Lepisosteus oculatus: one gene and its partner. Each later gene encodes a partner of the first gene's protein in a complex. Links are inferred from orthologs where the notes say so. Each region holds a gene or a part of one and is shown on either strand. Other genes may lie near its edges.

Region 1 (7,647 bases):
AACAAGGCCAGGCAATGCAGATATTTTTTTTACTAGTTCGGTTTTTCAATTGATTTGAAATGCCAGCGGTACTGAACGTTCTCTGCAATAATCCTATTATACAAAGAACCTACGGGGGTAGAGTCGCTCTTTCTTGGTTTGAATCAGAACTCAAATGCTGCAATTTGCAATGTTGTGGTCAATTTACCTTCAGTATCTCTTTTGCAAGTGTTCTAACAAATGTTTCCTCTTTTGTGCTAGAAGCTTAAACCACCAGGTACCTAACCAGCGTAATTACCTCTCACCCCCTTGTGAGATCAGCCAGGTTTGATATAGCAGAAGAAAATGCCCGCTTGGAATTCTTCACTCATTAAATGAGTACCCTATTCACCAAAGAAACCCTCATTACCACACAGCAGGGTGGGTCTATCAGAGAGGTATAATTACCCTTGTCCAAAACTGGAACCTTCTTCCTCCAAAACACCTTTTCAGCGGCGGAACAAAAAGGCAGCGCAGATCAGAAATCCAGGCAAACGTGTAAAACACTGACGAAAATCAAAAGAAATAAAAAAAGTGAAACTCCTCAAAAGCCAAATGCACCGTAAAATCAAAAAAAAAAGTGAAGGAGAATCTGCCGAAGAAATTGGTCTGAGAGAACCCCCACTCACGAGTGGGCGTGTAGGTGAGAATGAATGTCTGTCACACTGTAAACTGTGCTGGAACCACCCACACACAGGGGTTTCTTTCTCACTGGTGCAGCAGTGAACGTACGGAGCAGCTATAGACACAGACAAACACCATTATTTAACTCAACTCCCAAGGAAGGAAAAATTAAAACAATGGAGAGACCTTCAGGTCTAGATCTTTGCTTATCTGCAGCTGCACACCACAAAAGCAGACACAAACTCTGCTCTTTACCTTGTGCGCAACACACAAATAATTTACCACAACACACAAATCACAGCCTGGACGTTCAAAGTGTTTTAGAAAAGACCAAAAAAAAAAACATAAATACAGACAGAAGCTATGTAAAGACTAGAAGCTGTGATATTAGTACTAATTTATTGACGAGCGCTATAGAACAGCATATGTTTAATACATAAAATAGAACTTTGAAAAAAGAAAGGCACATAAAAAACTGACCATGTAAAACTGAATTATACAGCCATTACTTTAATAAAAAAAAGTTTAAATGAGATATAAAAATCTCAACAGTCACAGAGTCCGTGACGGATTAAAGCAGCGAGTTTGAGAGATGTGAGAAGGCTCTATTACCCACTTTGGGTGCAAATCAACTCCCAACAAATCATTTGTGGTATAATGCTAGATAAATTCTAGAAACACTATTATTACACCCTCCTAGCCAACGAGCAGGAAATTGCATTGTACAGATCTAACCCGTATCCAAAGCTATCACAGCACCCTTAAAACATTAGATAAAAAATAACGGTTCTCCGGTACAATACCAGGGAAAAATTAAAATAAAAAGGTACTTAAATAACTTTTTAAGTGCCATATAAAAGTTAGTAATATTAATGCATTGCCACAGCTTTCACAAAAGGGTGTAAGAAAACTTTACACCGATAGTTCCCCTTCATGACCCAAGTGGAATAAAAATCTGAAAACGAGCTGAATATTCGCATTACGAAGTTAAAAAGCAGGCAGCTCGCAATCCATTACGGGCTGTATTCTTGAAAGGATTTCATCAGGGCACATTCCCCTGCAGTTTTAAATCACAGGGCTGCTGTCTGAAGCAAGTCAGCACAGCGGTGCTTTCTCAATACTGTTCTTACGACTGCAGGGACACGTAGATAACCAGGCTCGTTTGTTTTTTTTCCCCCACCTGGAATGTTTTTTATAGTCGGTAGGAAATATCTATTAACCAATTAACGCATGAAACTGTACAGAGTTCGACGGTTTTTCTCCCGTGTTTGGGCTACCAGCTCCATATTTACAGTATCAAATATAAAACTTCTATGTGACCTCCGTGTACTATGAATCTTAATTCTGCATTTTTGAAAGGAAGCGCACCACCATCAAGGTAGTTACCCAGGCACCAAAAACTATATCTTTACCATGATATTAACTTTTCAGACCTCAAATTTAAAAAAAAAAACGCAAGATGTCCAAGGCGTTAACCATACTAAAACGATTAACTTGAAATCACACAGCTAAATGCTACTCTCTAATTGCAGTCTCCCAGGAAGCGCAGGCACGGTGTAAAGCAGCTAGCATGAGTATCAATTACAACTTACGACAAAAACTTTTATGCCACACTAAAATAGTCGCTCTGCCATCGCGTTAGAAGTTCCTCGGCTCACGGAGCAGCCGGAGCGACGCAAGTCTCTCGAAGACGTTTCGAGCCTCAGCTGTAGCACGGAAAGAAAAGTTTTCGAAACACTTCGAAAGATGGGGGGGGGGCTTGAACTTCCAGTTTACCCAATTCCGAGGCTGAATCCCGGGGAAGACGTGCGGTTTTTCCTGGCGATTCCGCGAGCAGCGCAGGCTAGGCTAGGCTAGGCTAGGCGGGGCTCCGGCTCTACGAAGTTTCCCAAAGCGGTGCGACCCAGCGGTCAGGCCCGGGAGGATCCCACTGCCGCCACCGGGGCTGGACGGGGGGGGCACGGCTCGCTCAGGCAGCCCACCAGCCCAGAACGAAGTCTACAGAATCCGACCCAAAGCCCGTAGGCAGAAAACCGCTTACAAATCCACGCAGCGCGCAAGTTAAAAAGCCCAGCATGTGGGGGGTAGAGGCAACACCCAAAGCGAAACAACACAAACTTTCCTACCTAAGCGTAACCCAGTCTTGTTTTCCTGGGAAATGGTGAGCGCTCAGGACAGAAATCCCATTCAGCGGGAGCGGAGCGCTGCGAAACCCGTCTGTAAGAGAGCCACCTCCCTCCGCTTCGGCCTTTCTCTGGAAACTTTTAGCTTGGTCCGGGCGGCCGTCTTCCTGTTGCGGAGGATCCCTGCAGCAGCTGACACCAACCTCGGCTCTGAGCCCGAGCTGGGAGTTCCTGTCTGCGACTCTCAGGGAGAAGTGGGACAGGAAACCCTCCGCCGCGGCGCTTTGCAGCGTCGTGCCGCTTGGGGGCGCTGCGGATTCAGGATGCCAGGGAACCACCAGAGGGCGATGAATAAACAACCCCCCCCCACCCTCAGCCCTGAGATTAAATGGGCTGGCCGGTATACGCCCAAGTCAAGTAACTGGCAAATCGTTAAAGTCTTTAAATAAATCCGGTTTTTAAGGATAAAATTGAATTTTAAAAAAATGAATCAAATCCCATTTTAAACCTAAATAAAACACACCCTATGAAGAGTAGTAATAACTATGAAATTATCAACCATATGATTCATTTCTTCAGGTCCTTCACTGCAGAGTTCCATTTGTTATTAATTCATTGTTATAAATTAATTTGTCTCCCCTCCACCACCACCAATGTGCAGCTTCACCTGGATGATGCAACAGCAACCATAGTGCACCAATATGGTGAGCACTCACCAGCTAACATTGGGGAGGAGAACAAGGTGATGGTGATTATTAGGAGGCCACGACTGGTAAAGACCAGGGGGAAATTTGGCCAGGACCCCAGGGTAACACACCCCTACTCTTTTCAAGAAACGCCCAGGGATTTTTAATGACAGCAGAGAGTCAAGATCCTCGGTTTTACGTCTCAGCCGAAGGACGGTGCCTTTTTACAATATAGAGTCCCCATCACTATACTGGGGCATTAGGACCCATACAGACCACAGGGTGAGCGCCCCCTACGGGCCCCTCTAATACCTGTTCCAGCAGCAACCTTAGTTTTTCCCAGGATGTCCGTTATCCAGGTCCTGACCATCTGTGAGCTGCAGGGTGACATAGCTGCTGCCTAATATGGTCAACAAAACACAGGATACCCTTCATATTCTCTCCCCCAATTTGGATTTTACAGATAACAAGAAAAAAATAAATGAGGGGAAGATTAACTCAAAGTTCTTTCTTGTCATAAAAACAAAAACAGGTGCAAGAATTTGACTCTTCAAAACAGTGCAGGTTTTATTAAGAGAGCAGAATTTATTGTGCAAACAAAAGTCTAATTCACTCTGCTATACAATCACTTTTGTAAATAGTGAATTATGAGCAAAAACAGCACATCTCAAAGACAGCAAAAAACTATATTTACATTTTCAGTACCCTGTTTTCTTATTGCCTTCAGTGTCTCAATATGAGCACCCGAGGTGAAGGGTATTTAAGATACTCCAGTAGCAACTGAGCACTTTTTTCTCCCAAGAGCACAAGAAACAGTAGCAAACGTCTGTCCTTGTTGCATTTGCTAAGCAGAAATAAAGTCAGAGGCCTGTTGTCGGAAAGGGCTTCCCTTGCACTTTGATGTTTGAAATCCAGATGGCCACGAAAGAAAAAATAAGCATTGTGAAAGAATGCCTTGCAGACATTCCATGATTCTTGAGGATCTGTAATGGCTCAAAGCGATGCAAGGAGCTTCACAGCTTTCTGTAGCTCATCCTCAACACTGCTCAAAGCCAGCCATCAGAGACAGAGCCAAGGACTCCACTGAAAAGAGGAGTGAGAAGAACCAAATTAGAGAACACAAAAATCATACAATGCTGTGCTTTTCTTAGCTCTTTTACCAATAAAAAGAATAAGTTGCAAACAAGAGGTGGCCTTGAGATCTATCTGTTTGATAGTTATTAGCAAATCAATCCAAAGATCTCATGCAGCCTTTTTTTGTCTTGGAAGAAGGGGCTTCAGCAACAGGGCTGGATAGAGCAGATACTCTAACAACCCTTAGTGCTTGCACATAGTGGAACTAACTAATGCTACAGCTGAAACCCTTTTCCATTACTTTTAATTATTTTGGTACAAACTGTTTTAATCACTGATACACTGCTTCTGTTTAAGACTAGAAGATGCTGTACCTGTCATTATCAGTGATCACATAATACAGTTGACAAAAACTAATTCAGAGACATCATACATTGCAGATAAAAACAATTTTAAACTTTTAATTGATAACTTTTGCCAGTTAATCACAAAGCAGAATATGACCAGTGAAACATCTGATTAACTTTGGCTCATTCACTCTTTACAAACAGCAGAAACTGAATTGCCAATAAAACATTTAATTCGCTTTCTGTATGACTCACAGTGTGGAAAGGAGCCCCTGCAGACAGCTTTGTTGAGTATAGTTACCAAGAACATGTGACAGTTCTTGAAATCTGACTCCATCTTATCAATAGACTCAATCCTAGAAATGCAAAGAGTTCCAAGATTAATTTGAAAAAAAAAGTATCAATGTTATATTAACAACTAAAGATTTCACTGCACATTTGTAGTTTCTCTGAAAAGGCTTCGTTAGAAAAAACACACATATACTGTATACACACTCATTTAAAACAAATGTGAAACAGTTTCTTATGGTTCTGATGTTCCAATGCATTTCTAAGCTAAATTAAATATAATTTGGAAAACCTTTCTTAGAGCAAAATACTTCCTGTCTAAAAATACCTCATAAATATCTGTATTTTAGCTCAGTAACTCAAACTCAATCATTTATTTCCGGCAAGTTTGACAACTATTTGCTTCTTTCACTGTTTGATCTTGGACAACCACCACCTTGCCTACAGTAGAATATCCTGGTGTTTTTAATTATAGAAAACACAGACAAATGTCCAGTTAACATGGTATTATTTACTGAGAAATCAAACCAATACATGCTTGCGTTTCATTAAGGGTTTTAATACTTACTTCCAGGCACCAAAGCCTGCCTGCCACCGATCTGAGAACATCAGGGCGAGATTCAGCACCTTCATTATTGCCTCCTTCACAAAACTAACCTGCAAAACGCATTGCCAAGCAAAAAAGTTTATTTTACTTTTTTTCTGAAAATTGTAGTCATTGCTACGTTTGTCTTTTGCTCCAACAATCATTTAACTATGGATTCTATAGTCCACCATTTCTGTGTTTTACATGTCACAATACAATAAGACACAAAGCAACATAAGACGGGTTGCAGATGAGAAGATACCACTCGGTAGTCAGTAGTTAACTCATGTAAGGATCTCATCCAGCCATTTCTTGAAAGAAGTCAGGATGTATGAAAAAGGCTTAAAGGGAAATTGCAGTCCCAATTTCTAAGACCGGTATTTAAATTATTAAATGTTATAGAACAATTTTACACATAAGCACAAAATAAGCACAAAATTGTGAACTTTGTGAAAGTACTGGAAGTCGCCATTTTATCACAAATCTCTGGTCTCACCAGGGGTAATAGCGAGAGTTCACAAGTATTGTGACGTGATGTGGCCCTTCTTGCTCACTAGTCACCATAATGACTGATGTAATGCGATGTACGAGTGAATGAGTACAAGTTGTGACGGGGACATTTCACTGCAGAAATGTTCCAACCTGATCTGCATGCAGAGTTAACAAGTAAGTAGTATTTGTCAGCAAAACCGTCTCAAAGTCAAGAGCAATATTTCTATTGGACTAAAAGTGATTTATTCACAAGCCTGCTCGTGTACAAAGTAATAGGGGTCACTTCAGTTCACCGGAAGTTTTGTTGCCTTGTCCTGAATCGCAGAACATGGTGATGCGCATACCTGGAAAATTCAGCTATTTTGTGAAGTAAATTGGAGGTTTTACTCATTATTGTATACATTTTTCTTTCATTTTGGTTTGAAATGCACTCATCAATGCCGATTCTTTATTAACCCCAAATATAATAATAGCATTGAAGTTCTCATTAAACTACTTGGGATAGGTAGCTTATCCTACAATGCTACAACCCATTGGATAAAGACATGCCTCCTGTTCTTGTTTTTAAAAACACTTCCATATAGTTTCTACTTGTCCCCTCTAGTTTGTGGTTCAGTGTTCATTCTTGAGAAACCTGCTGGGTTGAGGTTGTCAGGGTCTTTGAGGATTTTGAACACTGAAAAGGTTCAGTTCCTTCAGCCTGTCTGTGTAAAGATGTTGTTTTGAGTCCAGGGGTGTATCAGGTTGCTTTTCTCGGGACAGACTCCAGTACAACCATAGGTTTACCTACAGTATATATGGAAAAGTACAGTTCAAGAGCAATATGGACAAGTGGAGAACATGCATCTGAATTACACCTCCTCTTTCATAAAAAGCACAGTAGACTTCAAGGAAATTCAGTGTCCCTTAGTAGTTGTGAGTTAACAGAGTGCAAGACCTACCTTCTCTCGGAGAAGACAGCGGTCGTGAATGGTGGAGAGGTATCTGTAATGGATTTTAATCAGCTGGTCCAAGTCTTTAGCCTCTTCCACTTGGTGCTGAAACTCTAAGCCTGTGCTGTGCAAAATCTGACAGAAAGAATATACTGCTGTTTAAAACATACAGAAAGTATTTTAATACTCCTGCACCTAAACAGGAACAATAAGATGCTGGCTCAAACTTAAGTATCAGTTGTTCTCCTGTTTGTTACTTGACAAAAACGTCCCCTTTTGTGGGGTTAAGGTGTTCCATACATTCCACCACTGAGCTGTTAAAGCGTGTCTTTACACCCAAAGGCTAGACAAAAGACTACTGAAAATCAGAGCACAAAAATCATCTGTAATGAAGGCCAAGAGTCTTTGTGCCACAGTTAACATTAACATGGTCAACATGGTCTCTGCATTCCATGAAACTGTAGCTCTTGTTATTTG
Region 2 (6,828 bases), on another chromosome or scaffold:
CTATGCTGAGGCCTGTAGACTGTATATAAAACTGGAAAATGAAAACAATGTGGGAGATCAGCCATGTACACATGCTGCCATTTCCAAAATGAAATCAGAGAAGAACCAGCTGCTAAACATTTGCCATCCTAGCTGGGACCCTAAAATTGAAACTTCCTAAACACAAACTAGGAAAGACAGAAATATGTGACATCAGGTGGGGTACCACATTAACATATTGATTCATGCTATCAGGTACCATCTACCGGCAAATGAAAGAGCTCGTCTCAGGCATTTGCCTGGCTGGCTTGAGGAGATTAAGACAGACTTTGTTCACCTTCTCACAGTCTTGCTGAAAACCGGTGGAGCCTGTGAAAAGGTGCAGTTCAGCCCCACACTTCAAGACAAGGCAATCCTGCTGGAAGAATGGGAAAGGACTGGGCTGCAAGAATTTCAAAACCTGGTGGAATACAAGTCACATCCTGCTCAAGCTGGTCTAGTGGCTCCCCGAGGTCGATCAGATTAGTCACTGGTGTTTCTATCACTAGGGCCGGCAAATATTTACCTATCTTTACTAAAACCCACTAACACCACAGCAGACCTTAACTTGTAATTATCCAAATTATTATAAAGCTGCATAGATGAGCATAGGATGGCTGCCTACAGCTGCCACTTGCATTTCACAGCCAATCTATTCTAATACACATACCCATTTTCAGGACAGAAATTCAAAGAATCGACATTTCATGCACATAAAAAAAGATTAACCATTTAGCAACAAATTTTAAAAATAGAAAAGTTAGTTCTATAATAAACTATAAACCATGTTACTACAGTTTTATTCAGAGGTAACATCCTATAGGAGTACCCCACAATGGGCTCTGTGCACAATAACCTCTTTTCAAGAAAATGTTGGCATATCTAAACACAAAATGAATGGGAGGTGTCAATTTTATTATAATGCCAATATTGTCCTACTAGCTATTTTCTGATTGCTGCATGCAATTCAGGGTCACGAGGGGAGAGCGAGTGCCTATCCCAACAAGCAGCGGACACAAGGCAGGGCGCACTCTGAACGGGACATCAGTCCATCCCGGGGAACACACAGCCCCAAACAGACATGCACACACTCCTACCAGAGCCACTGTTCCCAGGAGCCAGGTGACCAAACACCATGTCTCTGGACTGTGTGAGGATACCCACACCAAGACACGGAGGACCTACAAACTCACACGGACAGCACCCCAGGGCCCGAACCCAGGGCCCCATGGCAATACTGGCCACAGCAGCAACAGGCTGCCCAGGGCCGGTATTCATTATATAAAAATAAATAGATCTGCAGATCCACAGATATATGTTGACGGTGGACAAACACTGTACTGTGCTGAAGAGTTTTGATTTTTAGGCACTGCTTGGATTGAAAAGTTCCTTCGATTTCTGGGGATCCTCTGCAGGGTTGCTCAGAGTTTCAGCGTTCCTGCTAGGGGGTCCCAGAAATATTTGGTTGAAAGAACCCCCCTGTGAGAAATCCAGTATGTGTTTACAGGAGTCCACATTTAGCAAGTAAATATCACACTTGCATTGACTAATTGCACCAACAATTGGTTTATTATCGTGACAGCTGGGAAGGAGTGACAACCACAGGATGCTTCAGCATTACAGGGATGGGACTGGAGACCTCTGCAGTAGTAAAAGCAGTAAGACATCACATCTATAATTACTTGTCAAAAACACTTCAGAATTTGTATTAGTTATTATTGCAGCTTTCCCTGCTTGGGTTCTGGATAGTTTAGTCTTAAAAGCATTTAATCCTTTTTCACAGCAAGTCAAAACAACTCATCCGCTTACTTAAATAGCACATGGTATTGTCAGGCTAGCTTTTCGGTCTTCTTTTCGATTATTGTGTTTCTAATCACTATTAAACCCTGGCCCGGAGTGTACAAGAACAATGATTATCCTCACTCTCAGAAAACCCACATGAATTACGAGTTTTACGCCAATGTCTATTGAAATTGTTCATAAACCTTCCCCTTTCGAGTAATCAACCATTAGTCTCCAGTACTGTAGTAGGCTTTGTAATCTTCAACGGAGCAAAACACAAATTGTGTTTACCAGGCAGTACTTATCAATTTCTAATTTGGTCGTTATAACGGACTATTTTCTGTGTTGGGATTTATCTTCGTCAGGTAAAGGGGGATGTATCCAAAAATTTCAAAGCGAATAAAAAAAATACAAATAAAATTATTATTCCTAATGACAATATAGTGCATAGGTAACGGATAAATCACCTGTACCTCGCACTACAGTGGGCTTCGTAGGTATCCACTAAAGTGAAGTCTACTTATTAAACACTTCCAGGATAGTTATCAAGGCCTATCACGGTTTCCTTTTTTGAACCATTGCCTCATTCAAAGTTCAGACACCGTTTCTTTCAGAAAAGTTTTCTTTTACGTTTCACATATCGTAAAGAACATTCAACTCAATCAGTAAAACGAATCGCTGCAAGTAAATCGCATTTTTATAAGGCAGTTCGATGCCGCAGTGAGCTGCGAAAATTAAATGTGTGGTTTTATCGTCAGTGATACTTCATACGATCTACGTAATCCCGGATTTTAACAACTTTATTTTCTTTCCACATCACTGAATTGTCTTTCTTCGTCCCGCGGATCACTAAAAACACTTTTTCGAAGGGTTTCTTGTCAACTTCATGGCTCCCAATTTAGCAGGAAGTAAAGTGAAACCACCCATAATTAAACTCAAGCAACTACAGTAGACTACCGACACAATGTTGCAGACACGAAGCAACATTGTCTTTTTACTCATAACTCCCCCATACCAGAAAGTATTTAAAAACGTAGCACTCATACCGTAAAGGAAAAGAGGGTCCGAGAAAACGATCCTTTCTGCTCTCACATAAGGCTTTTACCAGCCATCATCTCAACTCGCTTGAAGTTTTCCTAAAAAGAAAATGTCTAGATTTGATAGCTGCTTCAACTGTAAAACCGATTAAGCAGAACTACGCCAAGGCCCCGCCTACGCATACTTGTGATTGGACCGCGGCGAGGATACTGGGAATTGATTCGCTCTCACTCACGTCAGTTTCAGTTCAAGGAGGACCATGAAAACTTGGACGTAAAATGCGTAACTCCACCCGAGAGAGGAGTAAACATCTGTAGGGTTTTACCGGCTTCGATCGAAGAGGATTCGGGGGAAGATAATGATGGACTGAAGCGTCCATGTAATTTAGCTTTTTGGGGGTCAGTTCACGAAGACGTGCGTTAATAGCATTGAATGGGAGGAGATCGTTGCCCTGTATCGCGTTTTCTCTGAGTTCTGTATTTCTGAGGAGGCGTTGTGCATTCCTCAGCCCGGTCTGACGCAATGAACGACTTCTGAGGGAGTGCCCGTCGGGGACACGGAAACCTACAGTATATGCCTGCGTAGTGTGTTATAATGATGTCACGTAATATTTGCATCACTGTAATCAAATGCAAACGTGACTTAATCGGTCTTGGCTGATAGACCGTCTTTTAAAATCAGCATTACTTGTCTCCGTGCTCTTTTGCAGCTGTTCACGAACAACAGCGATTTACTGACTGGCTATCCTGCCCAATATTATAACGTTTTTAAAAATGTTAAGAAGAATCTTTAATTCAGCTTTTTGTTTAATAATTGTACCCATCAATCACGTGATGACGTGTTTAATTTGGGAGGGCCTTATTGTGTGTTCTTGAAAAGAGGTTTTCGTGCACATAGTCCATTACATGGTACTGCTGTATAATATGAGGAATAAACCTGATGTTTCATGGTCCAAGAATTAGTAAACAAAAAATCCTACTTACATTAATAACAAAAAAATAAACTGTTACAGAACAGTTTGTCTACTGTGTCAAGAATGCATGAAACAAGAACTCGGATGTTATACAATGTCATTTTATCAATCCCTAATTCAATCACAGAACAATATTGTTTTAAAAGATAAAGGTCATTCCACTCTGGACTTCAGATTATTTTATGTGAATCAGTTCTTCTCTAAATTGCTCCGCATTCTCACTGTTTCCAGGACTTGAGTCATTGATGATTTTGCGTTACCTGTAATTACCTGGGTGACTGCAGCCCCCTGGGCGCAGGAGTGAGTGTCACTGGTCGAAAGGCTTGAAGACAATGTAACGCTTTTGCAGACAAGTTTGTATCAATCCTATGTTTCTAGTTTAGCTTGGGATTTGTGTCTTCCTACAGTACTGTACGTCTCACACTGTGCTTGCTTCTCTGTGCTGCAACGCGTAAGGGTTGTGTGTTTGTGTGCTCCCTGCTCGCAGGCTAGGGTGTTCCCTCCTCGTTGTCGTGTTTCCTTTATGAGTGTTTATTCCTCCTCAGAGGCTTCAGCGATCATGGACATTTTTATTCCCTCGCGGTCCTTCCCCGAGGAAGACTCCCACGTCCACGTCGACTTCGGCGAACATGAGGAACCTCAGAAAAACTAAAGCGACAGCAGACTGAACCCTGAACGGACATCTTGCTAAGACTTTATAATCATGTTTTTTTTTTATTTCCCAAGTAATATACAAAAAAACTTACACAAAAGGTGCCAAAGACAGAAAAGAACAACAACAACAAAAAAACAACAACAACGCACAAAGTTTTAAAAAATTAGAGCTTTTTTTTCCCGACGGCAAGCGATGTCTTCCATTAAGCAGGGGATTCCTGTCCGAGTTTACAGTACCAGAAAACAAGTCCCATTTCCTTTTTAATCTATTACCAGTAGAGGGCATCTAGATTACACATCTCCAATTACATTACTTAAGCAACAAAGCTTTACATTGTCTAAATATCACAATATTAAGGTTTAGGATACACTGGTCGGAAGTGAGAACAACCTGGAAGCAGAACAAATTCTTAGTGTCCACGTTGTCAACTTTCTATTGCCTTTAGCGCCTTCACTCGTCATGAGTGCTTGTCACCAAATGTAAATATGAAAATTAAAACAGCTTGAATGGGATATAGCCATATTTCTCCATAGTACCCTTTTACAATATTTCCAGTAGTTTTATTAAAACATGACACAGGAGACTGTATCCTTCGATTTACTTCACAGTTCCTAATTTGAAACAGTTTCACTTCCGGTCTTAAACACTTAAAACTTTGAATCAGGGGTCACCAGCTTGTGCAAAACATATAAGTATATACCCTTGTATGTTCCTTTATTCTCACAGTGCAATACCAGATTTTGGTACAATGACAAAATAGATAAGCAGTAGGTAGTCACTAAATGTTTAGATTGTTTTCTATTCTGCAGTATAGAACTGTGATATGGTTGTGATAAAGCAATGAAAATGCCTGTGTGCAAATATTTGTAGCGTTTTTATAGACTGTATGTAAATTGTTTTAAAAACCATTTGAAATAATGTGTAAAAATAAAGTATTGATTTTGATTGTTCTTTTAGTTGTTGTAGCATTTCTTATTTAAATACTTTAATTGTTTATTTTGTGGTTCTTTCTTTGCCATTATGTAAAAGTGGCTGTTGATCATATGCTAATTAATCACGAATCAAAATTAAGGTTCACTGATCCACTCAGCACTGACTCCAGTCAGTGTTGCCTCTTCACCATTCTGGAGAGACAATGTGCATTTTGACGGAGGTGCAGCCCTTGATCTACATGTTAAATCACATGTCCCAAAATCTATCCAAAGCACATAGAGGCCTATGGCAGGGGTTCCCAGTCCTGGTCCCAGTGGCCCAACACCAGGCAAGCTCTTGCAATCATGCAATCAAACCTTTATTTGACTTCCTAATAGGATTAATTCAAAGTTTCTGGCTGTTTTTCAGCCCCTAAACATGCATTTTGCATTTCTCAAGTATAACTTTAAATTAAACCAAAAAGCCTGTGAGTAAGAACTTGTTTGAAGGAAAACTCCAAAGACACTGTTCCTGCCAGACCAGGATTAGGAAGCACTGCGCTGGAGAACAACGTGTGCTTAATAGCTCCACCTCGTGTTGACCCAGCTCAGCATGTAGCTGCTGCTGGCATTGGGCAGCGCATGGTGCAGTATGGCCTGGCCAGGCCCCCTGGCACTGTGCAGCAGGCGATACCCGCTTGTGTGCAGCTCCTTCATCAGGCTGTACCAGAACCGCACAACCTCTGCGTCGCTGCCCCCCACCTCAAACCCGGCCCACTGTAAGTGCACTGTCAGAACCAGCTGCTGGATCTGCGTGAGGGTGCCATCCAGAACCCAGCTCTCCACAATCCTCCACTCGGCGCTCTCCAGGTCCGCTTGGACAATCTCCACCTGATCCGAAAAGAGAGAGAGAGCGTAGGAATGTGATGCAAGAGATGGAAAGAGCACACATGTGGATAGGAAATAAACATGTGAAAAATAGGATGAACATATATATTTTCGGACAGCAATGACAAAGTGGTTGACCTTCCACTTAGTCTCCAGGTATACACAACAAGTTGCTGAAGAAGACTGCACTACAACAGCACCCTCTAGGAGACACAGTGTCTCTCTGCTGCAATGCCAGAATTCTGTCTTTGCACCAGCCTGGGCTTTCTTTACAAATGCAGAGTCTCTGTTCGCCCCAGGGAGCAGGATGTGAAGACCATAACCTCCCTGAGCCCTAAAATCCCACACAAAACATTCATGCTGGGATATTCTTACAGAGAGAGTGCTCTGCTTGCGGCCTTGCGCAGAGCAGGTGGGAGACTTTTGAACATCAGGAAGGGCGAAAGGAGCTGATGAATTTCTGTGCTGATACACAGCACACTTATCGGGCATATTCTTTTTGACCTGTGTTGCGTAGATGAAGCACGACACATAAAAGCTGCTGACATGAACTGAACCAGTTT

Evidence for each region.
Region 2: cyfip1 (region 1) and wasf2 share a complex: the UniProt entries of both Homo sapiens proteins name them as parts of the WAVE2 complex. The link is inferred for Lepisosteus oculatus from reciprocal best matches to the Homo sapiens genes CYFIP1 and WASF2.

What each region holds. Positions count from the first base shown.
Region 1 is NC_090710.1:22,086,648-22,094,294, reverse strand, and holds the start of cyfip1 (cytoplasmic FMR1-interacting protein 1 homolog), read right to left. Parts: upstream 3,016-7,647; 5' UTR 2,769-3,015; intron 1-2,768. Other genes in the region: tubgcp5 (gamma-tubulin complex component 5), read right to left, coding at 4,488-4,534, 5,128-5,228, 5,729-5,817, 7,180-7,305. UniProt on the Homo sapiens protein: Component of the CYFIP1-EIF4E-FMR1 complex which binds to the mRNA cap and mediates translational repression. In the CYFIP1-EIF4E-FMR1 complex this subunit is an adapter between EIF4E and FMR1.
Region 2 is NC_090706.1:8,898,857-8,905,684, reverse strand, and holds the start of wasf2 (actin-binding protein WASF2), read right to left. Parts: upstream 3,007-6,828; 5' UTR 2,847-3,006; intron 1-2,846. Other genes in the region: probable methyltransferase-like protein 24, read right to left, coding at 5,957-6,268. UniProt on the Homo sapiens protein: Downstream effector molecule involved in the transmission of signals from tyrosine kinase receptors and small GTPases to the actin cytoskeleton. Promotes formation of actin filaments. Part of the WAVE complex that regulates lamellipodia formation.